Linked DNA regions of Nothobranchius furzeri. The protein of the gene in region 1 interacts with the protein of each later gene in a pairwise test. Links are inferred from orthologs where the notes say so. Each region holds a gene or a part of one and is shown on either strand. Other genes may lie near its edges. The genes, in order: insrb, mad2l1 and sh2b1.

Evidence for each region.
Region 2: the proteins of insrb (region 1) and mad2l1 interact in binary tests that used the Homo sapiens proteins (3 or more experiments, as listed by UniProt). The link is inferred for Nothobranchius furzeri from reciprocal best matches to the Homo sapiens genes INSR and MAD2L1.
Region 3: the proteins of insrb (region 1) and sh2b1 interact in binary tests that used the Homo sapiens proteins (3 or more experiments, as listed by UniProt). The link is inferred for Nothobranchius furzeri from reciprocal best matches to the Homo sapiens genes INSR and SH2B1.

The regions. Positions count from the first base shown.
Region 1 is NC_091748.1:58,176,127-58,187,287, forward strand, and holds the end of insrb (insulin receptor b), read left to right. Parts: intron 1-525; coding exon 526-665; intron 666-739; coding exon 740-884; intron 885-967; coding exon 968-1,182; intron 1,183-1,368; coding exon 1,369-1,495; intron 1,496-1,612; coding exon 1,613-1,863; intron 1,864-1,965; coding exon 1,966-2,133; intron 2,134-2,213; coding exon 2,214-2,412; intron 2,413-3,425; coding exon 3,426-3,564; intron 3,565-3,748; coding exon 3,749-3,902; intron 3,903-4,090; coding exon 4,091-4,239; intron 4,240-6,010; coding exon 6,011-6,167; intron 6,168-6,807; coding exon 6,808-6,904; intron 6,905-6,997; coding exon 6,998-7,065; intron 7,066-7,988; coding exon 7,989-8,218; intron 8,219-9,261; coding exon 9,262-9,372; intron 9,373-9,495; coding exon 9,496-9,658; intron 9,659-9,749; coding exon 9,750-9,879; intron 9,880-9,972; coding exon 9,973-10,107; intron 10,108-10,205; coding exon 10,206-10,560; 3' UTR 10,561-10,784; downstream 10,785-11,161. UniProt on the Homo sapiens protein: Receptor tyrosine kinase which mediates the pleiotropic actions of insulin.
Region 2 is NC_091743.1:87,150,787-87,161,033, reverse strand, and holds mad2l1 (mitotic spindle assembly checkpoint protein MAD2A), read left to right. Parts: upstream 1-906; 5' UTR 907-1,043; coding exon 1,044-1,107; intron 1,108-2,373; coding exon 2,374-2,520; intron 2,521-4,388; coding exon 4,389-4,509; intron 4,510-5,307; coding exon 5,308-5,411; intron 5,412-5,530; coding exon 5,531-5,703; 3' UTR 5,704-5,992; downstream 5,993-10,247. UniProt on the Homo sapiens protein: Component of the spindle-assembly checkpoint that prevents the onset of anaphase until all chromosomes are properly aligned at the metaphase plate.
Region 3 is NC_091745.1:16,802,013-16,812,093, reverse strand, and holds the end of sh2b1 (SH2B adapter protein 1), read left to right. Parts: intron 1-118; coding exon of another isoform or gene 119-209; intron 210-4,029; coding exon 4,030-4,400; 3' UTR 4,401-4,604; downstream 4,605-10,081. UniProt on the Homo sapiens protein: Adapter protein for several members of the tyrosine kinase receptor family.

The DNA.
Region 1 (11,161 bases):
AATAAAGCATCCCACTGCTTGCCGTACAGCGTGTTCACTCATCAGACGACAAGATGTTCTTATCCTGACCATCCCTGTGTGAAGACCTGATGGCGCAGAGGGTGTGTTTGGGTATGTGATGCAGTGCATGTTTGCAAGGGGGAGGATGTTACGTACCAAAGAGGCTGTTGGGAACTGCAGCCATGTTGTTTTTGTGTAGTTTCTAAAGCACTGATGTGGAGAAGAGCAAGTTGAATCTGATGTTATTTGTTAGATGATTTTTCCAAACTACGTCAGAGAAGCTCTCTCCTTTTTGATTTTGGAGTCGTCGTTCATTCAGGTGCCGCTTTGCGTTTTTAGACGTAACGCGAGGAGAAAAGTGGAAATCTGCTTCGTAGATTGAGCCGTGGAGTTAAATTTCCCAAGCCTTCCTACCAGTTGGTTTTCCTTGTTCCATTTCTGATAACTGAACACAAGCCTGTTGATGTTTTTCTTCCTTGGTCTTAATGAATTTGTCATTAATCTGTTCTCCTTCTGTGTGTGCAGGCTGATGTGTAAGCCGTGCGCGGGCCCCTGTCCTAAAGAGTGTAAAGGAAATAAAACCATTGACTCTGTGACTTCGGCTCAGGCTTTACGAGGCTGCACCGTTATTGAAGGCAACGTGATCATTAAGATCCGAGGTGGAAGTAAGTAGCGTTGCACGTGTCTGTGACTTCTGGTCTTTCATCCTGACCTCCTGTCTTTACTTGAACTCTTGCAGATAACATAGCAGCTGAGTTGGAGGCCAGTCTGGGACAGATTGAGGAGATCAGAGGTTACCTGAGCATACGCAGAGCCTACGCCTTGGTCTCCCTCTCCTTCCTACGAAAACTACGCCTCATCAAGGGGGAACAACTCGAAGGAGAGTAAGTTCCTCCCCTTTTACCTTCAGCTACAGTTTTCTATCGTTCTTTATGTTTAACTTCTTTATCGCCTTGTTTCTCCTTAGTATTTATGCCTTCTACGCACTGGACAACCAGAACCTCCGTCAGCTGTGGGACTGGTCCAAACACAACCTGACAATAGAGCACGGTCGTACGTTCTTCCACTACAACTCCAAGCTTTGCATGTCTGAAATCACCAAGATGGAGGAGGTAACTGGAACCAAAGAGCGCAACCAGAAGAACGACATTGCTCTTCGCACCAACGGAGACCAGGCTTCCTGTAAGAACCTCTGGAGCCTCTACTAACACATCCACCTCATCACTCCCTTTACATTTGTATTATTTTTCTACTTCAGTAACGTACCAAGAAACAAAAACCCATGAAACCTTAAAATCTTTACCCACAAGCTTAAACTTCATCCAGATTCAACTTGCTGGATGTGTCTGACGAGTTGTTTTGTCTTAGGCGAATCAAAGAGTCTGAATTTCACCCACGTTAAGACGTCACACAACATGATTATGTTGAAGTGGAACTCATTCTGGCCCTCGGACTACAGGGACCTGCTGGGATTTATGGTTCTCTACAAGGAGGCGTAAGTTGGATTCCTACACGCAAATGGCCCTGGAGTATAAACATTACACTTAATGCCCCCATCTTTGAAATGATGATGCTGAATGAGCTGGTTTAAACTTGGCTGCTTCTACTTCAGTCCGTACAGGAATGTGACAGAGTTTGATGGACAGGACGCCTGTGGATCAAACAGCTGGGTGATCGCAGACGTAGATCCACCAGCCCGCTCCACAGATGGCAAGAAGGCCGATGATCCTGGGCACCTGATTCGTCCATTGAAACCCTGGACGCAGTACGCCATCATGGTCAAAACCCAGCTGTCTGCTTCTGATGAGCGACAGGTTTATGGAGCCAAAAGCAAAATCATTTATGTCCGCACTAATGCCTCCCGTGAGTTCAAATCTGAGATTTTCTGCTTTTGTTTGGTGTGGTTCAAACTGTCCTAATCTCTGAACTGAAGGCAGCAGGATTAACCGTTTCTTTTTCCTCCAGGACCTTCTGTACCTCTGGACCCCATCTCATCCTCCAACTCCTCCTCTCAAATCATCCTGAAGTGGAAACCGCCAAACAGCCCCAACGGCAACATCACCCACTACCGGGTCATCTGTCGTAAACAACCAGAGGACAGTGACCTCTTTAAGTTTGACTACTGCTTACAAGGTTTGTCTCCAGCTGGCTCGGCCGCTGCTTGTCTCCATCTTTTGTCAGGCTTTCGCCTCACCCATGCTCCTCCTGTCCAGGGATGAAGCTTCCATCTCGAATTCCAACCCACCTCGACCTCGAAGAAGAGCAGAAATGGAACCACACGGATGATCCCACCTCAGAGGGCAAATGTTGTGCCTGTCCCATGACAAAGAGCCAGATAGAAAAGCAACAACAGGAAATAGAATACCGCAAGACTTTTGAGAATTACCTCCATAACGAAGTCTTTGAGAGCAGGTAAGCAAGTCTAGACACCTCAGGGTGAAGATCGCGTTTTAGCCGTCTGTTTTATTTTTGGAGAAGCTGCAATTTCACCGTTCTGGTCAGGGTGCAGCATTTACAGCTCGGTAACAATGTAGCACACACAGCGCACCCTAAAGGGGGTTTACAACTGACCTTGTGTTGGTGGTGGGTGTCATCTCAGCCAAGGTTCTTTTGTGTGTGTGTGTGTGTGTGTGTGTGTGTGTGTGTGTGTGTGTGTGTGTGTGTTTGTGTGTGTGTGTGTGTGTGTGTGTGTGTGTGTGTGTGTGTGTGTTGTGTGTGTGTGTGTGTGTGTGTGTGTGTGTGTGTGTGTGTGTGTGTGTGTGTGTGTGTGTGTGTGTGTGTGTGTGTGTTCTCTGTAGACCCTTGTTTTTGTACTGAACATCTCTATGGGGGCTCAGAATGGGAGGTTTTGTGTATTTGAACTTTAATTCTACACACACACACACACACACACACACACACACTGTCATTTTTTTCCTATCTGCCTCTTTGGGGGAGTGATTACCGTGCCCATTATCATCCACGCCGGTCAGAGAAGCAGTCATGCAGACAGCCCTTTGGAGACACAAACACCGCCTCACACACTCCTCAGATTCATTTTGATCCTGTGATTTTGAACTGGTCTTTGGTCCAAACAACCATCGCTGTTCTTTTTTAGTCCACTAAGCAAAGAAATCATCAGCTTCAACCCAGTCCTCCACCTCTCGGCACGCCAAGGTGTTAGTTTTTGATGGAGCTTTGAGCTGATGGCATCCGTGGTTTTAGTGAAAACTGCTGCTGGTGGAAGAAGTTTTGCTCACTGGCGCCACACAGCGGAAAGAGTTGTTTGCTCCACCAACATTGAATAAATGTCATGACCTCATCACTTGTTGGTTTCCCTTTATAGCTGCTCCATTTTTCATCTGCAAAATAACATTCCTGTCCTCTGATCTCAGCCCCTTGGTCTTGGATCTTATTCATTTTGATAATTTCTGTTTTTCATCCAGGTCGCCCCGTGAACGGCGCTCAGTGGACAAACCGGACACAACACAGTTTCCCTTATTTTTTACAACGATATCTAGTCTGCAGCTTGGCTCCACCACCGCCTCATCTACAGAGGAAGACGAGAACGAAGAGGGATCCAAGGTCTACAACACTGAATGAAATCTGTTATAGATTAGTGTTTGCCTACAAGTTCAACTAAAACGGCTTTTAAGTTTTTTTAGAAAAAAAAAATTAAAACACCTTGCAAAAAATTATTTTTGTGTAAAAGAGAAATGCTTTTTATCTGTATATATTTTGAATCCCATCCCATAATTTTCCTGCTCAGGTGGAGCTGAATGTTACCTCTAAGGAGTCAGCAGTCATATCCAACTTGCACCATTTCACCAGCTACACCATCGAGATCATGGCCTGCAACCACCCTGAAGACCCCAAACGCTGCAGCCTGGCGACTTACGTCAGTGCCCGAACGATGCCAGAAGGTGAGATATCAAACTATTTTTGCTTCATCTAAACATACAGATTTACTTTTAGTTTGATTTTGATCAAATGACACCCGCTTGTGCATTGGTCACATAAAAAAACACAAAGTATACCATCATCACGGGTGCAAAATGCTAGGTAGAGATCAGTTTGCTCAAATGTTTCTGTCTTTGTGTGGCTCTGGCAGAAAAAGCAGACGATATCCCAGGTCCTGTGACTCACGATGTTGTGGTCGCTGAACCTCCCTACGTGTTGATTAAGTGGAACGCGCCTCGATCACCCAATGGACTCATCATCCTTTACGAGGTTTTCTACAAGAAGGTCGGAGACACAGAGGTACGTGTCAACAACACGGTAACATGGAGTGCTCCTGACGTCAGGCATAAACCTTTACCCAAACAACGCAGATTAAAACTACACTACACACACATCTAATTAAGGACTCCCCCACCTTCGATAATTTGGATAAAACACACAAAACACATACCGACTACAAAAAAGGATACAAAGCATGCTGAGGAGACAGCAGGCCAGAGACAGATGTCTCCGTTTGCTCCTCGCTGAGGGTGGGTCCAGGCGTGTTTTAGGCCGATTGTGAACTGGGTGCTTTAGGGCGGAGCGAGGTAGAGTGGGATGAGACAGCTGTTGTAGAATAGCGCCTCTCAGCACAAGGATGAAATCAGAAGGGAAAGAGGAGCATGCACCAAAAGAAAAACAAATGGCTGTGGCCGTAACTGAGAAACTTTGTCAAATCTCATTCTGAATGCCTTCCTGTGCTCATCTCGGACTCTACTCGATGAGATCTTGGACTGCCGGACATCTAAGGTTTTGAGTAAAGGTGACGCCTGGCTCAGCTCACACCATCGGATCAGTCCGGACGTTTCAAAACAGAAATGGGAGCTGGACCTGGGTGTTGGATTGTCAGAAAAGGCCTGGCACAAGACGTGAGACACAGTATTATTTAGCTCAAAGTGGTGCACCATTTGCTTTGGTCCAAAGACAGACTGCAATAATGAAGCCAGACTTAGACCCAACTTGTTCTGGACCTGCCTGACACGACAGGGATATTGGAGGCCCAATTTTGATGAACTCTCTAGGATTTGTGCGACCACTGTGCACCCTGACCCCTTGACTGCTCTGTTTGTGGTGGTCACAGTGGACGATACAGCAGATGGTAGCCAACAGCACATAATAGCTTTATGCTATTTGTGAGCCATCCTGTCCGAGTGGAAAGATGCTCGGCCTCAACCACTTTATTGGAGAAATTATGAATCATTTGGACCTGGAGAGGATCAGACATGGTCTGAAAGGGTCAGCTGACAATTTTGATGTTGTGTGGCAATTGTTTGTCTCCTATTTTTAAGAATGTACCATAAGACAATTGGTGATTGTTTCTATTACTATGTAAACTTGTTTTTGTGTACACACTAACGCTTTCTAGTGGGTGGGTGTGTCCGTGTTGAACTTTGACTGTGTGTGCAACAGCATGTGTGTTCAGTGTTGTTGTTTACTTGCAGCAAATGTGTAAATAATCTCACTGCTATTCATTGCTGCACCACCATCAGCAACTCTGTTGCTATAGTAACAGAAGCAGAAGGCTCTAATGCAGCAGTGATGGAGGTGCATCTCCACTGCACTACTCTGAAAGCATTGCAAACTTTAGCTCTTTCAAACAACCGATGCATTTTTCATTTAGGTTATTATTGGTATAATTATGATTATTAAAAAAAATATCACTGGATGGGCAAAAAAAATGTGTCCATTTACTATAAATTCTACCAACTTCTCCATCAACTATAAAACCAAGCTGTTTTTCTGACTAGTATAAAAGAAACCAAACAAGTGACTCGGGTGAACAGCAGAAGTCAGACTAGATAGTCACAAAAAAATTTTCTACCTCATAGGTCAAGAGAATTATTGAAATTCAGTGAAGCATTTCCTTCTCACCTATTGGTGTTTTTAAAGCTGCGTACATGTTCAGCATATTTTGCTAAATGACCATTTCCATATTCTCTTTGCTAAATCCATTTTTATGGTTTGGGTGAAGTAGCTGCTTTTCCTGTCGCCCTCACTGATGCTAAACTGTGTTTTTCATACGTTCTTCCAGGTTCACACAGTTTGTGTGTCACGGCCGGCTTACGTCAACATGAGCGGGACCAAGCTCCACCTTGTTCACCCTGGAAACTACAGCGTGAGGGTTCGGGCTACGTCGCTGGCAGGAAACGGCTCTTTTACAGAAACGACGTACTTCTTCATGCCTAATCGTAAGACTGGAGACTCCATCTCTAACTTAACTAAACTTTTGGTATTTGTTTGCATTTGTTAAAGGGGACATAACACTTTTTGCATCTTTTTGTGCTGCCATGTGGGTCTCTACTGTCTTTATAAAAAATCCTAACATGGGGAAAATGTTTAGTTTTAGGAATTATTTGCCTAAAACAATCCGTTTCAAAAGGTCCCTGTTTGTGATATCACAAATGGGGAAAGTAGAATAGAACAGTTTCTCATGTGCAAGAAAGAGCTGCTGCTGGAGGAGCAGCCAATAGCATCCTGAGTGGGTGACTGGTGGGCGTGGCCGGTCTGCAGCTTGTTTTCTTAAAGTGACAGAGCCCTGAAAAGGCTCATTCTGGAAGTTATGAAACTTATCAGAATTAAAACCGCTGATATGGCTCTATGTGAGAGGGATTTTTTTTACAAAGAGCTTCATAAACATATTTTACACTGACAATAGAACTATTAGAACCTAATAAAAAAGTCCCAATATGCCTCCTCTAATAACCCACAGGCTACAACCTGGTTCAAGTCTATTTCACAAGTTTATTATTACATTTTGTACCTAATTTATCTTTTTCCACTGTGAAACTCTGCCGTTCTCCAGCTGAACTGACTCTTTGTTTACTGCAGCTGATCCGGGTTTAGCTTGGATTGTGATCGGCCCGATCATCTTGCTCATTCTGCTGCTGTTCCTGGCTGCTGGTGTCATTTTGGTTATCAAGAAGAGGTGAGATGTGACATCATCATCAAGTGTGCTGTTGTGTCGTGAGATCATTTACAGCATCTCAGATTTATTTTTTTTCCTGTGGTTGTGTTGCAGGCAAAGTGATGGTCCATTAGGAGATCTCATCACATCTCCAAACCCTGAATACTTCAGCGCCAATGACAGTAAGAGTCTTGTAACACAACTAAAACACATCTGAATACGTTTTCCAGCAAAATTTTGCAGCTAATGTCTAAAATTGAAATATACGGCAACCTGTTTCTACAAACACCGACAGCAGTTGAAGGAGCGTAAAGAGAACCAAAATCAAAAGAAATGTTAAAGCTGCTGCCTGTGGCTCATTTGCGTTGCCAAGGTAACCACAGTCTTGTGATACCCTAAAGTTAAACCTCAAACTAATAGTTGCTGTGCATAAACTATTGACCATCTTCAAAACGGTCGTGATCAATGAGAGGCGGAAGAGTGTGATGGTCGTACATTTATTAATGTTTGTGTCTGAGTTTTATGTAAGAGATACAGTTTTTAATAAAAAATAAAACTTAAAAAAAAAAAGGAATTTCAGGTGAACTGGAGGGTGTACACCAGGGCTATTCAATTCCAGCACGTTGTAGTGGTTTCTCTAGTCCAACCCACTAGAGTCAGTGGTTGAATTACCTACGCAGCAGCTCATCAGGCTTTGCAGAAGCCTGTTAATCGCCTACTAATTAAAATCAGGTGTGTTGAAGCAGCGTTAAAACCTAAACATGCTGGATACCGGCCGCCCAGGCCCGGGATTGAATCCCCCTGCTGTACACACTTAACTCAGAATTTTTGGGCGAAAGAAGTCAGAAATGTTTCACATTTAATGTGTATTAAAAACACCCGTTGTGTGTGAAGTTTAAGTTTTCAAATATTGAGGAAAGCTATGTCACATGAAGTAGAAAAATTTGCACCATAATCAAAAATTTGTTTAAAAACCATAAAACGTTTCAGTTCTGTTGTTTCTGATAAAGATCCTTTTCTTTTGTAAGTTACAAAAAGTCCTTTTTTCTCTCTATTTGTCTTCTCTGTTCAAGACACCCATAAAAATCTTGGTTTTTTTGTGCAGTGTACGTCCCTGACGAGTGGGAGGTGCCCCGGGAGAAGATCACGCTGCTCCGAGAGCTGGGCCAGGGCTCCTTCGGCATGGTGTATGAGGGAAATGCTCAGGACATTGTCAAAGGAGAGCCCGAGACGCGCGTCGCTGTCAAAACGGTCAACGAATCAGCCAGCCTGCGAGAGAGGATCGAGTTCCTGAACGAAGCGTCCGTCATGAAGGCCTTCAGCTGCCACCACGTGGTACGAAAACCCTCTTAGAACGTCCAGCGGGCTGCTGACTCACAGCACCTCACTGCTCTTTTATCCTTTAGCTGCAACCAGTGCGTGTCTCAGAGAACCGTGACTCACGTGTTGTGTTGGAGCTGCCATACTGACACACAGTTTGACTCCAAAACAAATGTTCACACTCAGTAGGCGATTGCGGCGGCCATTACTATTTCATTACACAAGCTACTAGGCATCAATTGAGCCAGCATGTGTTGTGCTGTCAGCTGTGAAAACATGTTGCGATGAGAGAGAATTTTATTATTTACCACCTCAGGAGGAGATAATTCATATCGGAGCTGTTATTAATTCATGTAGGAGCTTGAAAAGCTTTTATACTTAACACACACAGAGATTTCAGAGTAGAGGCCGTCCGATATATTAAATTTTTTCTATATCGGCTAAAATTATTTTTAAAAGCCAATAAAAACGTTAAAAAAATTAAGCAGGCACCTTTGTGGCCAACTGCCGCCACTACTATGCTGAAGAAAGGACCCGAAGAACCCAACACACCATTTCTTTAATGTTTTGATTTTGTTTTCTATTTGACGTTCAATGAATATAAAGAGATTTATTGAATATTTAATTTATATTGCACACGGTGAGTGTCCAGTTGTCTTTCACAATCAATGTGCTGCTAAAACGTATTTATATCGGCTTTAGATATCAGCAACAATATTCTTTAAAAATCAGCATCAGCCTAAAAAAAAAACATGTTGGTCGGCCTCTATTTCAGAGTTTCAGAATCATGTTGTTGTTAGCCAATCAGAGGCGAGATGACAGAATATCAGGAAATGAGAATCTAAATCCTGCCGCCTTCTGCTCATCTCTCCTCTGGTTCACGTCTAGTTCCTGAAACAGGAGCGCCAGAGCTTTTCCCCCCACACAGATCGACTCACAAGGCATTTATTTATATTTGGTCTTTAAAGCAGGCCTTTAAATGATTTTAAAACTAAAGAAACATTGTCTTGAGCTGGGAGGGTTTGGTGTGTGTCATGCTGCGACTTTCTGTTTTACAGGTGCGTCTGCTGGGGGTCGTGTCCAAAGGTCAGCCCACTCTGGTCGTCATGGAGCTGATGACTCATGGTGACCTGAAGAGCTACCTTCGCAGTCTGAGACCGGACTCTGAGGTTCGTTCTGGTTATCATCTAGTCAGGGTTAAATCGGTCAAAGCAAAATAAACTGAAACAAGATTGAAGGTTGTGATGTGTTCGCCAAAGGGTAGAAGCTGATTTTCCGTGTGTGGTTTGCAGAACAACCCATCCGGCTGCCCACCGCCCACTCTAAAGGACATGCTGCAGATGGCAGCAGAAATAGCTGACGGCATGGCCTACCTCAACGCCAAGAAGTTTGTTCACAGGGACCTGGCAGCCAGAAACTGCATGGTGGCTGAAGACTTCACAGTAAAAATCGGAGGTACGGCAGTCGTTTTGTGTGTTGTGTTTTTGGTTTTGAGGCAGATTTGGGTTTCAGAGTCGGTCCTGATGCATTGATCTCCTGCTGTCAGACTTTGGCATGACTCGAGACATCTACGAGACCGATTACTACCGTAAAGGAGGGAAGGGTCTGCTTCCCGTTAGGTGGATGGCTCCGGAGTCTCTGAAGGACGGAGTCTTCACGGCTCACTCAGACTGCTGGTACGCCACGCCTCAGCGACTTGCTGTGTAAGCTCTGTTATCCCGTCAGCTCACCCTGTCACCACGTTGTTGTGTGTGTGTGTGTGTGTGTAGGTCTTTTGGAGTTGTGCTGTGGGAGATCAGCACGCTAGCAGAGCAGCCTTACCAGGGTTTGTCCAACGAGCAGGTCCTGAAGTTTGTGATGGACGGAGGGTTCCTGGACCGCCCGGACAACTGCCCAGAGAGAATGTAAACACGGAATTTGTTCATTCATCCATTCTTTAATGAGGAGTCCTCGCAGTGATCTGTTTGAGTCTTTTCTCATTGTCTCGGTCTTCTGTTGCTAGGCATTGCCTAATGCAGATGTGCTGGCAGTACAACCCTAAGATGCGTCCAACATTCCTGGATATCATCGAGATGCTGCGGGACGACCTGCACCCATCCTTCCAGGAGGTCTCCTTCTTCTACAGCGAGGACAACAAAGTCCCCGAGACAGAGGACTTTGACCTGGACCTGGACAACATGGAGAGCATCCCCCTGGACCCTTCTTCTTATTCCCAAAGAGAGGAGAGCTTAGGCAGGGACAGCGGGCCATCGGTGGCCCTCAGGGGGAACTACGAGGAACACGTTCCTTACACGCACATGAACGGTGGCAAGAAAAACGGAAGAATCCTATCATTGCCCAGATCCAGCCCATCCTAACATTTCCTTATTCCTAAAAAAAGACTCGATTCACCTTTGCCCCCCTCCAGTTGAATTTTCTGTTCTTTTCACAGTTTTCTTATTCGTAGAGGAAGAAAAGACGCAGATCTCAGGACTTTTCCGTTTCTTCCTCACCGCTGTCCAAGACGGGCAAGCAAGGGATGCAAACACGTTTATAAAACTTGCTCCACGACACATCAGACTCTATGAATCTGTGGTGACACACAGCCATGTTTCCAGGACTCCTCGTGATGGAGAAAAAGTGGGGCGGCGTTTAAATAAATAACAAACTGAAAACTGTGAACACAGCAAACTTTAGCCAACCAGGACAGCTGCTCGTGCCACAAGACTTTCTCTGCATTTCCACGTTTCTGATTGTTTCTGTTCTCTCCAAACTTCCACTCAGATTGTGGCCTTTTCTACGTGGCCTGCAAAGAAAGAATCGTGTCTCTCAGCGTTCTTAAACTTGTTTCCTTTTTGTACACCTTAATCAGTGGGAGGACTTGCAAAGACTCAAAAGTAGAACATCTGATTCCTCCAATAAAGATTTTGTGTTTTTGGTTCTGCAGAATTCCAAACGGCACACAGATTAATCCGGTGT
Region 2 (10,247 bases), on another chromosome or scaffold:
ATTTCCTAGAGTTTTGTTTTAAAGCTCGTAAATGAGAATTAAACCAGGGAGCCAACTTCCTGTCCCTAATTACCTTCTTTTTTAAAGGGGCAACATCATCTAATGCCACACGTAAAGAGGAAGTAACATGATGAACTAAGGTATCAATTTGTGAGGGGCTAGAAATGAAAATATTGCCCTGTGCTACATGCCTCTGAGATGCTGAGGACAGTAAAGATGGAACAGTTGATTTAAAAGACGCAACTGCGTTGTCAGATAGAGACCGACTATAGTGAAATTTACTTTCATGTCTCGAGAACTCAACTCAAAGGTTATCAGAAAGTGGTCCGAGAGGACTGGATTATGTGGAAAGATCGTTATTTCCTCACACTCTATGCCATAAGTCAGCACAAGGTCTACTCCCTTCTGGCTAAACTCTTTCTCTGCCGTAGAAACTAGGGAGAGAGGTGCAGATTATTTAATCCGGCCTTCATAACAACCATTTACAACTATTTTATTTAGTCACTTGTTGGTTTGAGTCTTTACAGTGTTATAATTCTCCTGTCACAAGGTTCAGCTGTTTAAAGAGTCGGTGCAGGAAAATCCACCTCAGGACCTGCTTTTGTCCTCACACGCTTTAGCTGTTGTGTTCAGGCAGTCATTTAAACTCTCTTATAAAAAGACGGAGGTCAGACAATAAGCCGGTGACTTCATGGGAAAAACACTTTATAAGTTAAAATAAAATAACTTACATACAATAAAAACTAGATACAAGGATTAACCATCCATCCATTGTCCTCCTCCCATCTGGGCTTTGGTTGCAGACGTGACCCTGTGTGGATGAGCGGATGCAGAAAGCGGATGGCTCTACGGTTACACTTATCTACACTGCCCTCTAGGGGCATACAGATGTAAACGCAGCACTAGGGCGTGATCGGCACAAAAACGCGCATGCGCGTAGTGTCCAGCTGACACATTTTCAAAGTAGACGGCGGGTAGTTGAGTCGTACATAGAATCAGCACAAAGCTTCCTCGAGGAAAGCCAACCAGTAGCAGTTGGAAAGATGACCAGCACGCTGAAGGGAATCACTCTGAAAGGAAGTACAGAACTAGTGGCCGACTTCTTCTGTGAGTGTTCATGTCTCTGTTCCGCCTTTTGAACGCCGTTGACACGACGCGCAGCTAGCATGCTAGCGGGCCTCGGTGTGGCTCACCCAGCGTTGCAAGCTAAAGTCTGGTAAAGGGATACAAACGTGTTGCCTGAAGGTTTTTAAACAGGTCGGTGCTCTTACAGGTAGCGTTTCTGATATTTAGCATTTGGTGTAACTTTAACGTCAGTTGAACGTGTTGGAGGCAGTCCGCTCCGCTGGTGCAGAAATCCCGTTGAAAGACGAAAAAGAGCTCCGTTTACAGGTAAAACTGCACTGTTCTTGTGTGGCTTGTATGCCGAATCGATTAGAAGAGCGACATCAGTTAAATATATCGTGCTCTTATTCTACAACTTGTGTATATTCCTAGCAATCTTTGTGAAAGCTACATTTACCCGTTTAATGGACGATGTTTGGTCCAGGATGGAGTTGCTTCACACTGAAGATTCTTTACTCTTCATATTTAAATATTGCATACTTGACTCTTCCTATTCTAAACCAATCTCTGCTCACACACACACACACACACTCAGGTGCAGCAAATACAACGTACAAATGTTTTGTTTGTTCACAAAGATTTTAAAAGTTTAGCATAAAATAAGAAGGCAGGAAAACTTAAAATATGACTAAAAAATCCCTAAAGTAAAACGGGGAGTGGCCCCCTTATATCAGTTTTCTATTGGGCCATTCCCATCTGTACCAGGCCGGGTAGCCCCAGTCGGCCCCAGCCTGGCCCGGTTGATTCCACACATCCTTGCCTTAAGCCCATGTGGGCTGATTCTACCCACCAATCAGAGGCTTGCTCTAATGGAAGGTGTGAATTTGCTGTCAGCAGTGGGTGTGTTGGCCCTGGTCGGCCTGAAGCAGACCCCCTCGAGAAGAGGGCTGAGAATGAGCCTTGGTTGGCCCGGAAACATACCAGGCCACCCAGATATGTAAACAACCTACGCTACCCGGGCCGACCCGGTACAGATGGGAATGGCCCATATTTCTAGTCACAACCACCATGGTATACAAACACGTCGGTCTTCGTTCTGCAGAAACTCTTTACACTGACATGAGTCATAGGTGACTCGCTTTGCAGCACAGATGATGAGTAGACAAGCTTTAGTTTGACTGCTTGAATCAGAGATGTGCAGATGTGATTAACAGGAAACATTTCCCCCTCATTAGATCGTCTTATTCCTGTAATGAAGGGTTCTTGTGTTCTAAAACATGACGTGAAACTGCCCTCTGTTCTCCTCAGCCTTTGGCATCAACAGCATCTTGTATCAGCGGGGCATCTATCCTCCAGAGACGTTCTCCAGAGTCACACACTATGACATGAGTCTGCAGGTCACCACTGACTCCAAGCTGAAGAACTACCTGACCAACGTGGTGTCTCAGCTCAAAGGTAATTAGCTGACCGACCAACTCCGACTGGAGCTTATGCGTCCTCAAAGAGTGCCCAAACAGAGGTCAGAGGTGTGTTTGACTCGAGGGAATGCTCCTCTGTTCTTTGAGCTTTAGGCTCCACCCACATTTACCTTGTTGTTGAATCTAGGCAGCTTGGGGTCTCTACTGTAGCGTACCAAACCCAGTTGTGAAGCAGTAATGTTGTAATGGCCACGGAGAAACCGTTCGCTCTGAGACGAGCTTAGAGACGCCACCTTACATCTGCATGTGCCAACCCGCGGCCATGCTAGCTACAAATGTTTCGGTAAGCTTACCGCCGTCCGTTATTTCTGTTTATGTGGAGCTGAGAACCGACCCACTCCAAAACCAGATAACAGGTATGGGTGCCTGCAGCGGCCAAAAGGCCTCAGAAACTACCATCTGCTACTGTCTTTCCCTAATCAGTGATTTCAGCCATGTTTGCCTTTCTAACTGTAATAACTCTGCTGTATGACCCACGCCAGCATCACCTACTGTGGTGGACGTATTCATGCCTTCAAATGAGCTCATGTTGTTTTCACCTGGGCAAGAAAAACAAAATGACCAGATAATCATGACATGTCCCACCTCTTGTATTATGTCCCCCAAGCTAGACAGGTGTTGTCAAAAAAATCGATACCTAGATATAAATTGATACTAAAAGTGGTATCGATATTATAGACTATTATACACAGCCTTCTTCAAGTACACCGACACGCACGACATCCAGATGCCGTAAAGCAGCCTCCCCTTCCCAGACAAACAGAAGAAGCTGCCGCATGGCTACATTGCAATTTCCCACGCGAGTTGTCTCCGATCCAAGTTTTGTCTGCCAAATAAATAAACAAAAACATAAACATCAAATTTGGGAGGTGCTTCACAGCCCAACTTAATTAGCATACCAAATCCGGCACGTAGTTGTGTATTCACGCTTATGTGCTTAAAGGAAAACTCCCGTTTATTGCAACCCGGACTTAATTCTAGCATGCAGTACGTTTGTTTACTCACGCTGACAACTTTGGTGCTGCTTGGATTCCCCGGGGTATTTAGATCCATTAGCGAATCGCCATCAGTGTATATCCATATAACGGGAGCGGACAGGCACCCATGGTGCAGCCTCGAAATAAGACATTATCTGCACCAAAACATCTCAATGTCGAAAGTTTTTTTTTTTTTAGGAATCGTTAACATGATTCCCCTGTTCGTTTGGAGCGAGTCTGGGATTTCTAGGTGTAAACAGACTAGCTGCGGCTAATCTAACCGGCGCTTTTAATGATGTCACTGCCGTGCGCCAGTCTGTTTTTATTAAGATTACCGGTAGATGTACCTTTGTCCTGCTGTGGAGAAATTCGTTTTCTCCCTTTATTGACCAACAGAGTTGTTCAAAAGTACAGAACAAAACATATGGCATTACATCTTATGACAAAAATGCACCTTAAACAGAGTTTAAGCAGCAAAACATCACTCTGCATATAGTGTATATATAGTGAGACAATTCATGATTTAAAGTGTTAACTTTCGCCAGTTTTTGTATGCAAGTTTAAAAAAAATGCTGATACTTGAAAGGTTTAAGCTCTTTACACACTTAATTCTTAACATTTAATTTTTGTAATATAAATTGAGGAATGTTACTTTTTGAATAAACTTGTTCAATAAATTGGTGTTTTTAAATAGTATCGAAATCGAGTATCGAATCCCCCCCCCCCCCCGTATCGAATCGAGTTTGAAATTTTAGTATCGTGACAACCCTACTAGAGACAGGTGTTAAAATGAGAGTTTTAACCATGAACTGCCCCCGCGCGGGGCTGCTTTATCAGAAGCCACAAACATCGGTCGTTTGTGTTGCAGAGTGGCTGTATGAATGCACCGTGCAGAAGCTGGTGTTGGTCATCACGTGCCTGGAAACCAACGAGGTGCTGGAGAGATGGCAGTTCGACATCGAGTGTGACAAGTCTGCCAAGGAGAGCAGGTCTGCTTTCTACTGGTTTTACTAGTGCTGACTGGATGACTCGTTCAGAGGGTTTGTTCAGTCCAACATGTGGGCTTGAGTTCAGCTCCAGTCTGTGTGTAAACGGGTCAGCTGAGTCTGGTTCTGCTCCGGATGGGGCGGTTACCTTAAATTGATGCTTTAAAGGTGCAGTATGTAAGAATGTAGTGATAATTTTACAGTGAGAAAGTCCTAAGAGTCTGATGTTTCAGTCATTTAGGAAGGAAGGTTCTACTGAAAAAATTCTCATATCCAGCTGCTGGATTGTCCGTTTTTCTCCTTTCTAAACAAAGGAAGGCTGAACGTAACTACTGTGTACCATCATTGAGTGGGGGGCGTGTCTCCTGCGAGCTAATGCTGCAGCACCAACATTTGTAATTTGACGATGGCCACCAAAAAGCTCCAGAGTTGTTTGAAGTGGTTGCAGTAATCAGATTTTACCACAACATGTCATTTTTACTTAATTTCTACATAATGCACCTTTAATCCAGCCTGCTGGTACCTTCATTCAGAGATGGTTTAGGTCATTTGGCATTTTACAGTGAGACTAATTTGGTCAGAGTCCGGACTTCTGCCCTTATAGCCCTTTATAAGTTATAACCCTACGCTGTGTTGTTGCTAAGCCCGCTCCGTCGTTCAGCATCAGTCAGTAGCAGCGTCAGACACCGGCTTATGTACAGATGTCACTCACGGCGTACGTGAGCGTGCGAGGATGTACCTGGACTGATGCAGAGGTAGTGGCGTTTCAGCACTCATTCCTGAGTTGGTGTTTGTTCCCAGCGCTCCCAGAGAGAAATCCATTAAGACCATCCAAGATGAGATCCGCTCCGTCATCAGACAGATAACTGCTACGGTTACTTTCCTCCCACTGCTGGAGACGCCGTGTGAGTAACACACACACACACACACACGCACGCCAAAACAAGACGAGGCTGGTTCTCTTTCCGAATCGGGGTGGCGAGATCCTCAATTTTAATTCTGACCTTTGCCTTCTTGGCTGCAGGTGCCTTTGACCTCCTGGTGTACACGGATAAGGACCTGGTCGTTCCAGAAAAGTGGGAGGAGTCTGGCCCACAGATCATCGACCAATCAGAGGAGGTGCGTTTGCGCTCCTTCACCACCTCCATTCACAAGGTCAACAGCATGGTGGCGTACAAAAGGACCGACTCCGCCTAAACTATGAGCTGTACATCTCACACACACACACACACACCTTATAGTAGGTAACAGTGGCTTCTGGGGCTCTCTGTCCTCACAGTGGACATGTTTTCTTTTCTGAGTTTTACTTTGTCTCGTTTGTGAGAGGACGTGAAAGGATGCTGCTCACTCCTCTCTGCTGTAAATATTTGTCAAAGTTGTTTTCTTTAATGTTGTCGCTGACGTCACCAACCGTTGTTTTAGTGATTTGTACGTCCGACCTTTTAAACTGTCACAAATAAAGGCCTTTTGCCTTTCCTCCTGTCAATGGCGTGCCTTTCTTTTGTGACCACAAGGTGGCAGTGTGGTGTAGCGTGTTGTGTGCGTGCAGGCCAACAGACACCACAGAAAAGAAGTTTTATTCTTTATTCAGCCACTCTCTACTTGGCTCACAGTGGTGTGGACAGAAGAAGAACGTCCCTTTCTCCATGGGACCATATCAGCTTATTTCATTCAGTGTCTACAGAAATCCATCTTTAAAAACAGCTCTTACATATGAAATGTTTATTTTAAACATGCATGAAATCAACCTGAAGATCTCTCGGTGAGAAAACTAGATTTTTAGAAAAAGCACAGCCCTGGAGGCTACAGAGTAGCACGTGGCCATAGATACAAAGGAGCGCATGTACAAAGTGCTTCAGTTGTGCTGCGAGAACGCCACGAAGTGACCGCTGCTCGTGTGCGTACCGAGAATTCTGGAGATGAGAACGATCATCTCAACAGTCTAAAACGAACAGCGCCGACGTGGGGTGTTTTAGGTAAGGTAGGACTTAGTTTTAACAAAAGTACATTCAATGTTGTGTAGTTGCCTCACTGTCAATCCTGCATCCTCATCATGGATGAAGCTGCTGCGTTGTTACACCGTCTACCTGTGACTCATCTGGGTATCAAACTGTTCTAAATTCAATAAAATCACCAAGTTCCCTCGTCCATATCAAATATCTTCTGGTGTTAAAGCTCACACAAGCAGGTAAGGGAGGTTGTTTTGGTGGGGGGAGTCCCGATTGTCTGTGCTGTGGTTACTGGTGAAAACTGTAAAACCTGCCCAGTTTTCACCAGTAACCACAGTACAGAGACAACTGGGCAACTGCAGAGTGATCTAACGTCTGATCTAGAAAAACTCCAGCGATCCTTGAGGAGCCAAAAAGATCTGCCTGTACATCCACATGCAAATGGGGTTAGCCATGTTTGATGACTTCCTGCACAGGGCTGGATCCAGAATGACTAAAGACCAGACCGATCGGAGCGATCACTGGTGAAGGCCTCACTGAACATTTTTTTGTGATGTGTATTTGGTCATGTGACAGTGGTTGCAGGGGCGTGTCCAGATCTTTTAAAACGGGGTGGCCCAGGTGAGGCACAACTTTGTGCATGGGTGGCACCAATGGTTATGCTTTTTTTGTTTTACCCCCAAGCCTTTTGTGGACAATGAAAAGCCTATTTAGAGGTAAATTAGTGTGTTAGCACCTGGGGTGGCATGTGCTACCCCAGGCCACTCCCTGGACACGCCCCTGAGTGGTTGTAATCATCTCAGAAGTGTAAATGTGTGTGTACATAACGTAAATTCAACTTAAATCATTTTCATACTAAATCTGATTTTAGAAGCATGTCAGTATATCGGCTAATATCTTATCGGCCATAACAGTGATATTGATATCGGTGCATCCCTAGTTTAAATGTCCCTTCATCTGTTGGTGTGCAGCTAGAGTACTAAGCTGGAGAACTAATCAGACCTTCTCAAAAACAGCTCTAAATGTAACAAAATCTCACTGAAATCTTGAAAACATTTTACTCTTTCCTCTAAAATAAAAAAAACGTATGACTTTCAGTCAAATTAACTTTACCGATAAAAAACGCATCTGGTTTCCTGTTTTACTAAAAATGTTTAGTGTGGAGCAGCATGGGAATGGAAGCCTTTACCTCAGCCTTACATGATCAATCGTAGCAGTGGAGACATGATCTGCTCCTCCAGTTGGTTCTATTGTATAATGGTATGACATGCTGTTCATCTGAATGAGCTGTTCCTAAGAAAGATCCTGCAAAAGGTACAGGGAGACTTGTTTTGTAGTATTAAAACTATGTTTGCTGTAAGAAGTGCTGCTCTTTTCTAAAGTATACTCTCACAATATAGAAAATCTAATAAATATATAAAAAGAATAAATACACAATAGTTAAGACAGTGAATGTATAAAAGACTCAAACCCATATAGTGTGCGTGGACAGACGTCTAAAAGCGTTCATATGAGTGACACAGTGTGACGTGTACAGTAAGTACATCGTAGTGATCCCACTCATGATTCTGATCCATAAAGGTCAGCGGGACCAGCCAAGGAGGTGAAACTTCAGAAAGAGACACTCGTGCAAAAAGACAACAGCTATGGTATTAAATACAGCTTGGTGCTCTTACAACGGGAAATGGTTCAAACTAGACCCTGATCTTGAGTATCAATGTACATTTTGTGACTGCAACACATTGGTGCCCCTTGTTAGCTAAGACACTTTTAGCTTCTAACAAAATGGGGTTTACATTTGTATTTAGCAAAAAATGCACTCGTCTAAACCAATGGGACTGGGGGCTTTGCTAACAGCTAGCTGATGACAACATGCTAAAAACATCACCATGCAAATCAGAATCTACCAGGGTGCTTTTTTCTTCCTTGTGTGTTCAATGATGTCAACATAAAAACAATGGACCATAAACCAACCACAGCATTAGAAGATGGTCAATGGACATGGGAGTTTGGTTAAAGGCCCATTAGTCATCACACACACAGGTCAAATGTTTTCTCTGCATCTGACCCATCCTCGGGGGAGCGGCAGACATGGTCGCACTTGAAAACTATTTGGTGGTGCTACCCCCCCAATCCACCCCTTAATGCTGAGTGTCGAGCAGAGGCATTGGGGATCATTTTTAAAGTCTTTGGTATGACCCGCCTGGGATTTGAACCCATGACCTCACGGTGGACACTCATACCAGTAGGCCACTGCTGGTTAAGAAGTCCGTTATTAGTAAATGCTATTATTGTGTTTGGTACCCGAGGCCAACAATAATAGAAAGAACTACTTGGTTTTTGCTGCAAAGTCAGCCTTCACAACGCAGCAGTTAGATGAGGAAATGTCTGGACTGAGGGTAAGAGAAGTCCGTGCTGAAGTTTGCCACTAAAATGTTTATCGGTAGGCTGAGCACCAGACTGAAGTAACTGTCCAATGGCCTACAAATCTAGACAAACCAAAGCTAAACGATTTAGCTCTGCATGTCTGTCTAGCCACGCTCCACTCCAGCCTAATCAAACACAAAATGTCAGCGGCGTGTTGAAATGACATTGGCATCAACCTTGGACCACTTAGACGTGGGCTTTTCTTTGAGTCAGGAGCAGATAGATGTCCCTCATTTAGAAAAAGGATGTATTTGTGTCTTCTTCGACAGTGTACGGTGGACTTCCGCTGACTCATTGTCCAATAACAAGACTACTGTAGGTCCCGCCCCACGACTGAGCTTTCTCTGTGGGGTGTGACTAGACTATAAATTCACATATATAGGATGGCTTACCAGGCTAACTATCCACAACTTTGAACTATGAAAATAAGCTAGCTGGTGAAGTGATGAGAGGAAACAAATCTCCTCAAATGCAGCCCCCGATAACCATAAACGTTGCTTTTGTCTTGTGATACTTTTGTCATCTTTCTGTCCTTTTGGGGACGATTAACACAGAACATTGAAGTAAAGTTTTCAGTTTCTACAGCAGTAGAGGAACCTGGTACCGAGTGTATAAAACATCTAGACCTGACAGTGATAGACATCATATAAAAGCATATCAGATGTTAGCATGTCTGGTAGCATTAGCTGCAGTCCCACTGATTTAGAGAATGAACCAATAGGCTTTCACCTTATTTAAAGTTGGGGTACTTTTCAAGATCACTTTCTGCACACCCAGCATCTCATATAGTCATTCTAAAACATCCTGCTAAAGTCATGAAATCCTGCGTAAAGACTTTAGACCAGTAGGATCCCCAACGTTTGCCAGAAGCCATAATGGATTTTGGGTCACACTAGACCATTGACCAGTCCCTTCTCACAGTCCTCAGCCAGGCACTTCCAGTGCTGTCGGTTCTTCTGGCATCCCTCCAGCAGTGGAGAGCAGTACTCCGACATGCTAGCCAAGGTCTGCAAAAGCAACAATAAGGGTTCAGCAAGGAGGAAGGGTTTCTTCTGCTTTTATGGGCTTTGCAGACAGAAACCTAAAAGGCTAAATTACCTCATATAATTGAACACAAATGGCATCAATGAAGGACACCTGCATGCTGGGAATCTTGTCTCGTTTCTCACGATTCATCAGGTCCTGAAACAAAAGGTACCAAACATAAACTCATTTAATAAGTACAATCGACATCTTCGACACTTACAGAAGGTCTTTTTTCACATACAGAGGTTAACTGCACTTATACAGCAATTTCTAAGTCAGAGGACTCCAAAGCACTTTACACTACAGTCAGTCATGCACACATTCACATCTGATGGTGAT
Region 3 (10,081 bases), on another chromosome or scaffold:
TCTGATGCGACTCCTGACTGTTTAGTTTCAACCCAGCAGCTTTCCCATCTGTGTAACCCATCAGTGCTCTGACCTCTCTGTTGTTGTCTTGTTGTATCCGTTGGCTCATCCCTTGCAGGCCGCGACAGGGCAGGCAGTCGGCCTGCAGTCTGTGATGTCATCACCACGCGCCATCCCGACTCTCCATCAACCCCCATCTCTGACTGTGTGTAAGTGCGACCGGACTATGCTGAGAGAGGATGAGTGTGTGGCAGTGAGTGACTGAGGAGGACACATTTGTCATTTAATCAAGACTGGTGATGTCTGAACCAACTAAACAAAACATCAGTTTGCTTTTAGCAGAGCAGGATTCAGCTCTGAACCAATCAGGTCAGACTTTCCTGCCCCACTGGAGCTGTTTATAACAGAGCAGAGTCCGTATGTGGGAAACGGTACTCTTGGGTTTTATGGCTGTTAAAGGATTTATTTAATTTTAAAGGCAGATTTTAATTAGTGTGAGCAAAAGAGGGTCTAAAGAAATGTATTTTTTCATTTCTACTTTGTCTTGTGTTGAAAATATGGAACTTCAAAAAAAACTTTTAAAGACAAAGTTCACTGGAAAACCATTGTTTATTTGTTATTTGTGAAATACAATCAGTCACTCTGGGTTTCACATGCAGGCTAAATATAAAAATAGTCCTGTATCGCTAGTGCCTGCATTACCCACCAGGAGAAGATGGACGGAAGTGCTTGGAGTATAAATGCCAGTCAATTCAACTTCATTGTAAGTTACCATTCATGGACTCGCCCACCTTGGCTAGAGGAAGACTGCTGATTTAGTGTTCAGAAGATGGCGGCGCACGTCTTGGCTAGTAGAAGCTAACTGTTAGCATTAGCAACTCCACAACAGAGCAGAACTCCTTCAAGCTTGTGTTATTTGTGGAGATAAGACATCAGCGAGTCAGTGTTACCCGTCTAGGAGGGCCAGGTTGTAACATAAAAATGGCTCAATCTTCCACCAGTTCCAAACCACCACAGCAGAATTCCGAGTACAATAATTTATTCACAAGATCAAGGCGATGAACTAAGGACGAGGGAGGATTAATAACTCAGGGTGAACCAATGCCTAAAACAATAAACAAAACACCTCTAACTTCAGAGTGACAACTGACCTACAAGCTTAAAGGAAATAACTGACAGCCAAACTTACCTTCCTGACTATCCAAAACAGGAGAAAACAGGAATGCAAAGAAAAAAGGCGGTTCACCCCTACAGAATCCTCAAATGGCAGGTAATAGTCACAAAAACACAAGGGCATCACACAAACACAGAGCATCAAGTGGTGGCTGATTGGAATGAGTGGAGAATGAAGAACCCAGCTGCATCTCATCAGGCTCCTTTTAACAGCTTTGCTCCAGCTGATCTTCCAATCCAAACGTCCCCTGGCCATCATCCACCAATCCTAGGAGGGCACCTGCACACTCAAAATAACACTTAAAAAAAAAAATAAAAGTACAAAAACAGAAGAAATAATGTTCCTTATGACCGTGGTCATAACACACAGTCACATTGCTGTTAGCCAATCAGAGGCGAGGTGTCAGAATATCAGGAAGTAAGACTCCAAATCCTGCCGTGTCCAGCTCACCTTCACTCTGGTTCACTTCTATTTACTGAAACAGGAGTGCCAGAGCTTTCCCCCCCACAGAGAATGACACAAGACATTTATTTATACTTGAGACCACTGCATATGCTTAGAAAATTGAGTGAGAGAACTTGGTCTTTAAAATTGAGTGAGAGAACTTGGTCTTTAAAACATAATAAAAATTCATCTTTAGGACGTTAAGGAGATGGATATTAATCCTAATATAAATCTGTTCTAAATTTAACTTTAAGCCAGTGACAAAAATTAGGAAAATAAAACATCCTTATTATAAAAATGGAAAATAAATTAGACAATTGTTTAAGTAACAAATGCACTGACTGGTTTTTATGGGTTAATATTGGTGTCGGTGAGATTTCATTTTTGAAAATTCTCAAATTAATTTGACTAACGAGTTTATGGCTGGATTGTGAAAACTGTTGCATGTCTGACACTTGAGAATATCTGATATTGTCACCGTGGCCGGGTTAGACAAAAGGTGTGTTTCCACTGTCGGAACTTCAGGGTAAATTTACAGAAACTTCCCGACATGCACATCTCAACTTGATCGAGCCAGCTGAACAGCCATTTTTCAGGCCATTTTCGGTAACTTTGTGAGTACCTGGTGAGGGATAGGTACTCGGAATGGCCTGGTAAAGTTGCTAAGTGGACCTTTTGGTTAACTCGTGCTAATTGGTTGTAGCTCAGTAGGGAAGGGCATCAGCAGACGCCATTCAAAAATGCTTTTTCACAGGTTTGCCTTTTTCAGCAAAACCTCTGAGGTAGAATGCTGCATGTAACCTTCGAGCTTCCTTTCCTCTTATCTTTTCTGATTTATGGAAGCTTCCATGTTTTATGACCACATTGTACCAAATGCAGATATATTTTTTTCAGGTAGACTGAACTGGAAATCAGCAGCAGGCGTCTTAAGAAAAAGTCTTTAAAGTGAAATGTGAAGCAATGAGGACAGATCCGAACCCTTGTGCTAAATTCAGGTCCCTGCTTACCTTTGGAGAAGTCCCGTTTTGTCAAACTCCAGATTTTGAATCTGGAGGTTTCTTGTCTAGTTCTGCGTTCTGCCCTATCAGCTCTAAAACCTTTATTATTTAGGACCAAACATTTAAGTCGATCTAGATTGATCTAATAAGCTGGGATCCTTTATTCTAGTTTACGTGTACGTTAGAAAATCAAGCTCTCAAATGTTCATTCCACTCCTGTACCGTAGGTGGCAACATGCGCGGGTTGGCAGTCTTCCGGTTAGCTTATAGGGAGCCTAAGTCTCCTCCCTTTCCGGTTGGCTCATGGGTCCCCGCAAGAACGAAAAAATGAATGCAAGTCAACGGGGCAGTAAGAGATATCCGCTTTGCCTTACGCCCTGGATCGCGCATACATGTGTTGTACTTCTATTCAAATGAAAACTACTGATGGGTGTTTCGAGCACGCCAGTCACTTACTTTGAGATTTATCGCTTGTAAAAGTTCGTAATTAGCATGACTAGGTTCGTGGCATAATATGACGTCACCACATAATCTCCTCTCCCCTAGCGCAGCGGCTACTTACCACACGGCCGGGTTATTGGTGGTCCTTTCCTCCTGAAGGAAGGATTTGAAGTTTGCTGAACTTACAGCCATTTTCCGTCTGTTTTTCTCCGTGTCTGGTTCGATGACGTCACTTTGGCGATGCGCATTTGTAGTCCTGGACTTATTTTCACACACAACCTAAAATAACGTTACCCCCGTTCAAAAATGAGCGTGTTCTTGGTATAAAAATGTCTAAAATTCATGGACATCATGTGTGAAATTCATAGCACATAGCAAACAGAATTAAAAACAACAGCGTGTTTAGCCCCATTGACTTGCATTCATTTTTTCGTCCTTCTGAGGACCCACGATGCGGAAGTAGATGGGCGTGGCCTAGGTTCCCTTTAGCAACTTAAAGTAATCAAACGCTGGTGAGAGTGAAGCAGGCAAAGTTAAAGAGGATGTTCACAATGACCACAAACGGACAACAACGCTGCAGCACAGCTCATTCGGTGCGTACTGTACTGTGTGATGGTGTTACGCATGTTACTTAGTGGCGATGATCTAATCAGATGGCCGCTTCTGCGGTCTCGTCACTTCCAGAAGTTACCGGTATCAGCTCAACTGAGCTGTTTACATCCAGATGCAGCTTGTTTCCTTCCTACCGCATTATCTGCTGGAGATCGTTGTGGGATGAAGATGGAGCCCCAGGTGTTTGTTTTTGTTCAGTTGTTTCCATGAAGTCCATCATCACAAGGCTCTTTCACCAAACCTGACTCTTTCATTTCATTCTCCAACCTCTTACCCTCCTGTCTTCTGACTCCTCCTCTCCTCGCCGCCTCCTTCCTTCATTTACACTGATTTTCTGACCTCTCCCGCTTCTCTTGGTAGACTTGACCAGCAGACCCCGTAGTCCACCTCAGCCTCCTCCTCTACCACCAGGACGCCCGCCTCCACCAACTCCACCCCAGGAAAGAGGAAATGAGCCAGAGCTGGGAGCAACAGGAGGAGCAGCAACAGGAACTGGAGGGGGAGGAGCAGCAGCAGCAGTAGGAGGGGGAGGAGGAGTGTCTGCAGGGATGGTGGCAGCCACAGCAGCTGCAGCTGCAACACCAGGAGGAGGAGGTGCCAGCAGTGGAGGGGGAGTAGAGGACTGGGAAGACAGGGACACTCCTCTTCGCCAGTTGGAAGCTGTAGAGGGTGAAGAGAGGGAGGGTGCAAGGGCCCCTCGAGCCATCGATAACCAGTACTCCTTCTACTGATGGAGTGGCAGCCGGGAGGAGGTGGAGGAAGAGGATGTTTGTGTGGTTTTGTGTGTGAGAAAGTGAGATTGGAAGAGGCGGCGTATGTCATAGCCATTCATAACCAGTATTTTTATTTTGCTAGTGAAGAGGAGGAGGTGTAAAAGTACTAACACTATACGAGACTGAGAGAGGGCCGGTGGGAGCAGCTTTACAACACTAACTAGCCGTACATTTCTTTACTTTTTTAGCCAGATAAGCTTTGTTTTGCCGGTGCGCCTCTCAGAAAACTCTTCATCCTAGATGAGGACTCTGGAGTCAGCAGACCTGATACCTCACAGTGGTCCTGCCAAGACAGCACATGTTAGTCAGAGGCCAAACACTCTACAGATGTTTCTACTGTGGCAGAGAGACCCAAAACGTTACACCTACACTGAGCCGCGGTGGTGATGCTCCTCAGAAACCGCTTCAGGTCACCACGCAAACACCACTTCTCATGGGCTCGACACACGGGAGGCGACAAACGACCGCGATCAGCGAAATTTGTTGCCGTCGCTTTTATTACCTGACACACGGGAGGCGATCCACGGCAGCGGCCAGCGGCAAAACCGTCTACGCGTTCTGTTCCATGGTGAAATCGAATCTTCCGTTGTTTTGATTGGCTGTGTCAGGTTGGAGGTAATTGAGGTTATTTAAGCGGTTCAGAGTTAATAAAGTGGTAGATATGTTTCACAAGGTGCTGCTCGAGTTACTTCTGATTTTACTATAAAACATAATAATAATCAACTTCTCCTTCATGTTTGCTCGGAGATGTATGGAGCATCCTGTCCGCTCATTGGTCAGTGAATGAAACCTCGGTTGATTGGTCCTCGTCCGAGCGACAGCGATGAAAAGTTGAAAATGTTTCAACTTTCTGGGATTGCGTCGCTGGGTTGCCTGTGCACGACATGTGCACGAGCGCAAAATTTGACGCGTGTTTTTCGCGTTTCGCTTGGTAGGAGGGAGACCCGCGATTATCGCTTTGTCGCGCATGTCTCATTGAAAATGAATGGAGGAGAGGCGATGTAGCCTCCCGTGTGTCGAGCCCATTACTCTGAGGATGAGTAACAAGGCTCAAACTCCCAATCCATGCCTCATTTCTACGTTTCCTAGACTTTTGTCTTCATCGGTACTAATCCAGCTGTTCTGAAGGTCTTCCAGTTTCATTTTTGGGAGAATTTGGCTGATGTTTTTTAGTTCGTTTCAGTTTTTGTTTCAGATTATTGATGGATTTTCAAATCCTTTGTGTGTGTGGAGAGTTAATTTTTTTGTTTAAGACTAGTTTCCACCTCAGAACAATGCTGCTGATTGCTAAGTTTCCAGCTTATGGCTTTGGACTATAAAGAATAGAACAGCAGCCCAAATCCAAAGAGGAACTTTAGACCCTCATAAAGTCTGGAGACCTACTGATCTAGATTACCAAGGTCTGGCTGCTGGTTAGGAAATTCTAAAGAAATGAGGACTGGATCTGGAGTTTAATCCATAAGAGTTCACAATGTTTACAATATTTAATAGTTTTTTTCTCTTTTAGATATTTGAATTGCTAAATGGGTTTGTGGTCTCCTTTAGTCAGAATACTTTTATCTGTTCATAGAAACAACTAAACTTCAGTTTAATAATTCAAATAAAGATGTGAAAAATACACAGAAATGTAAAAAGTGAGAGAGAAAATGGATTTCCATCCTCCAGAAGGACAAATGCATTTAAAAAACGTCAAATATACAAATAATAAAACCCTCTGAAATAAATAGGAAACTTGGCTCTGAGCTGCCAGCTGAAATAAGGCATGGCAGCTTTATTTGTATGAATACATACACAGGGGCAATTCAGTGTGCTTTCCAGTAGCGAGAATAATGTAACGTTAAAATCAGCGTGACGGCACAATTGAAACAAATTTCAGATTTAAGAATCAGAAAAAGGAAAAAGTTAAAAGGTGGGCGATTACAGTGCAGAGGGTAATTAAATAGGCTGATGAATACATGAAAGTTTTCCGTTTTGATTTAAAAGTTACTAGAGTTGGGGCTCATTTGAGGTCATGAGGAAGCTGATTCCATGTGTGAGCAGCTTCACCCTGTTTGGTTCTGACCCGAGTTTCTACCGGCCGACAAGACCATTCCTGTGAGCGGACGAGTTTAACTGAAATAAAGCGTTTTATTTCTGGGTATAAATTCAGGCTATAACTCATATTTAAGATGAATGACATCTCACTAGAGCCAACAGTAATATTTATTATACACTGAGCCTACCTTTGCTCTCATAGGTTTACAATAGCATGATATGGAACCTTTAAAATAGGAGCATCAGCAGAACTTATGCTCACCAATTTCTTTGTTACTGTTCAGAAATCTGAAACTGTTCCATCTTTGTCTTTTTCAGAAACATCTGAATTTTCTGGCTCTCTCAGACGGCATTTGATTAAACAAGCTTCATCTGTTTTTACATGAATATTCACGGATCCAGAACCAGTAAATCTGGTTTAACTCCGAGTTACCCTCCAGCTCAGAGATCTGAGTGTAAGTGAGTTAATCTGGAGATAACCTGGTCTCTCAGGCTGGTGATCCAATTTGTTATACACGACTCAATTAAACCTGTGAACTCTTCATAGAGTTGGTTTTATTGATTTGATTTGATAAAACTTTTAACATTTCAAGGATTTACTCATAAATGAAGTTAATTATTACAAATGATATTACCAATTAAAACCATGCAGTCACTTTTAAGTATGAGTAAATCATCACTCCCTATTTTGATCAAGTTCTTTGGTATATTTAAAATTAAATAAAAAGGTCAAGAGATAAATGTTTTAAGGGCTTTGACTATTTAAATTTACTGGAAAAGATTTGAGTTTTATACTTTTGCTCATTTAAGATGACACATTTTTTACACCACACCCACGAATGTTTGACCATTGTGAGGAAAAATAAAATGTGGCGTGTTGACGTTGGACAGTGTGTTAACGTTTTGGGTCTGCAGTAGGAAGGAAACCTTTACCTCAGACTCACTCAGCAGCATCTCTCAGTACTGATATATGTCTCTCCTCTGTTTCTGACTCACACAAACCCTCAAGAGCAGAGCTGTGCTTTCTTTCAGAGAGAAACGATAAAATAATGGAAATAATAGTAATAACGATGGTCAGAATATTAGTATTAAATGTGTTTTTGACACTTGTTTTTTATTTTGTATGCCTACTCTATGTAACACTTATTCCAACTCCATCTCAGTTGAAATGTCTTTGTGCCTTTTTTATTTTGGGGATGAAAAGAAGGAAAATGGTTAAAAGGTTTTTTTTTTTCTTATTTTCACTGTGACAGTTTTCCCTCACTGTTCATGTGTTCTCCTCCTCGAACTCATCCTGCATTCATCAGGAGTAAAAAATAATCTAGCAGAAAATGTTGATAGCTACTTTTTTCTAGTTGTGCCTTTCTCTGTGTGTGTCTGGTCATCAGCCCGTCTCGGTTTAGATCTCCGTGTAGCTGACCTGCTCGTTTCTGAAGGACTTTTCTTTGCTCGTCATGTATTTGTCTCCATGCACATTTTAACCTCTGGTCTTCATGTTCTGTGTCCTTTTCTCATTTTAAAAACTCTCTGTGCCTTTCTCTGTCTTTTCTCTCTTTGCTGGGACCGTGTGTTGAGGGCAGACAGAACTTTCTGTCCTACCTGTGTGGTTAGTTTCAGGTACTACATTGAATTTAATGATAATGATATAATATAAATATAGTGAAACATTCAGCTTGGTTTAATGTGGTGATTTATTGCTTTACTCCTGTTCAAAAGGCTGAACAGAGGCTCCTGGCTGGGCCTGACCCATCACTCCCACCAGTGAGTGCTGCATCAGTGTGAAAGCCTGGTTGGCCCAGGGGGGTATAGCAGCAGATGAAAAGCCGTACATGGGGTGATATCTCGAAACATCTCAGCTCTTGCTACCTCACCAAGGGAATCCTCGTGTTTGGGATTCGGGGGCAACGCAGACGTTTAGACTTAGACATTTCTTGGAAAATTTATTTTATTTTACCTTTTTTTTCCCCCGTGTCCTGTCTGGCTGTGAAGCGAACAGAATTGATGTCTGAATGCTGGTGACAAGCTTTAAAGATTTACTCTCAGGTGGAGCATCAAAGCTTCTGCTTTTAATGTCACGCCTGATACTTAAAACTTTGTTATTGTTTTTGAATGCTTTATAATTCCGACCAGACACTGAGACAGAGATGAAAGAGAAAGGAAGAGAAAAAAGGTGTGTGTGTGTGTGTGTGGGGGGGGGGGGGGGAGTCCTCTTTCATAGAGAAATGATCAAATTAAACTCCCTGACCCGGGAGACACGACGCAGGCAGACCAAGACACCACACTCCTAACCAGGTGTGGCAGGGGGAGGGAAGACGAAGATGTATAACATCAAAATAAGTCCCAGGAGAGGGGAGGAGTCAGAGTCAGACATATACAGTCATACACAGACACACTCACTCCCTCCCTCATGCTCACACATACACATACAACCAACGACTTGCAAAAATGCATGCCAGACACCCACTCATGCTCCCCATACACATCCTATTCACTCTGGTCCCGGTACTGCTGCACATGGGGTACAACCATTACCGGTTCCTAGAGTTCGACCCTTTCTGCTGGGGTGCTGATGAGCAGGCTCCCCGCCTAACACCGAGCAAAGCAACCCACCATCCCAGGCCCCAACCAGACAGCCAGATCTCCCTCCTAGCCTCCAGCCCCGGGAAGCCAAGCGACAACAGTGGTGTGCCAAGACCCCTAGATCCTTTTGCCTGCTCCAATATGGTGTTAGTACGTGTTGATGAGGTGTATTCCATGGCTGTGGTGAGCGGGCAGTGCGGGCATCGTCTGGCCTATGCCAGCTGATGCCACCACACCACCCCACTTGCACCCACAGCCTTCATTGTCTAAGTGCAGTTTAAAATTTGAAGTGGGCACCGGCAGTCGGGATGAGGCTGAAAAATCCCCCTGCCAAATGCCGTTGAATGCTCTCACTCCCAAGGCCCTAAGTGTGTGTTTGCGTGGAATGTCATTGGCAGAAGTGTATAAGGTGCAAATAAAATTGGGGGGCAGGCTGCCACAGGAACACGGAATGGGGTCCATACCCGCACCCCATGACTTGTCCACCCCCCAAGGTCCTATGTGCATGTTTGTGTGATGATGTGAGGGAGCAGGAGGAGAGAAATATGCGGGGATGGGGAGGAATGGCTGGTTGGACTTAACCCCACCAGGGAGCCAGCTCCCCCACTGGCCCCAATAGGCACCTCTGTTGCCAAAATGCCACCCAGGGCATGGAGACCCCAGCCCATCTTGCCAGGGCCAAAAGCAGCAGCATCACAGAGCCTCACGGAGTCCGAGGGCACCAACCCGGCCCCGCCCCAGCAGAATATCTACTCCCATCCCTGCATTTGCACAACTTCCAGAATATATAAGACATAGGACATCCAGGTAAGGTTGGGTCCTCCCCCTCCTGGACTTCCCCCTCCCCTGTGATGGGACAGCAGAGGAGCCAAGGTCTACCTGAGCCCAGGCCAGGCACTGCCATTTGTTCCCGCCTTCTTCCCGGCAGCATTTATGTCAGGACCCGAACCCCAAGGCCCCGCCCAGATCTCCACACGGGGCCAGCCACCCCCACACCCCGAGCCCCCACCCAGACCTGCTCAGGG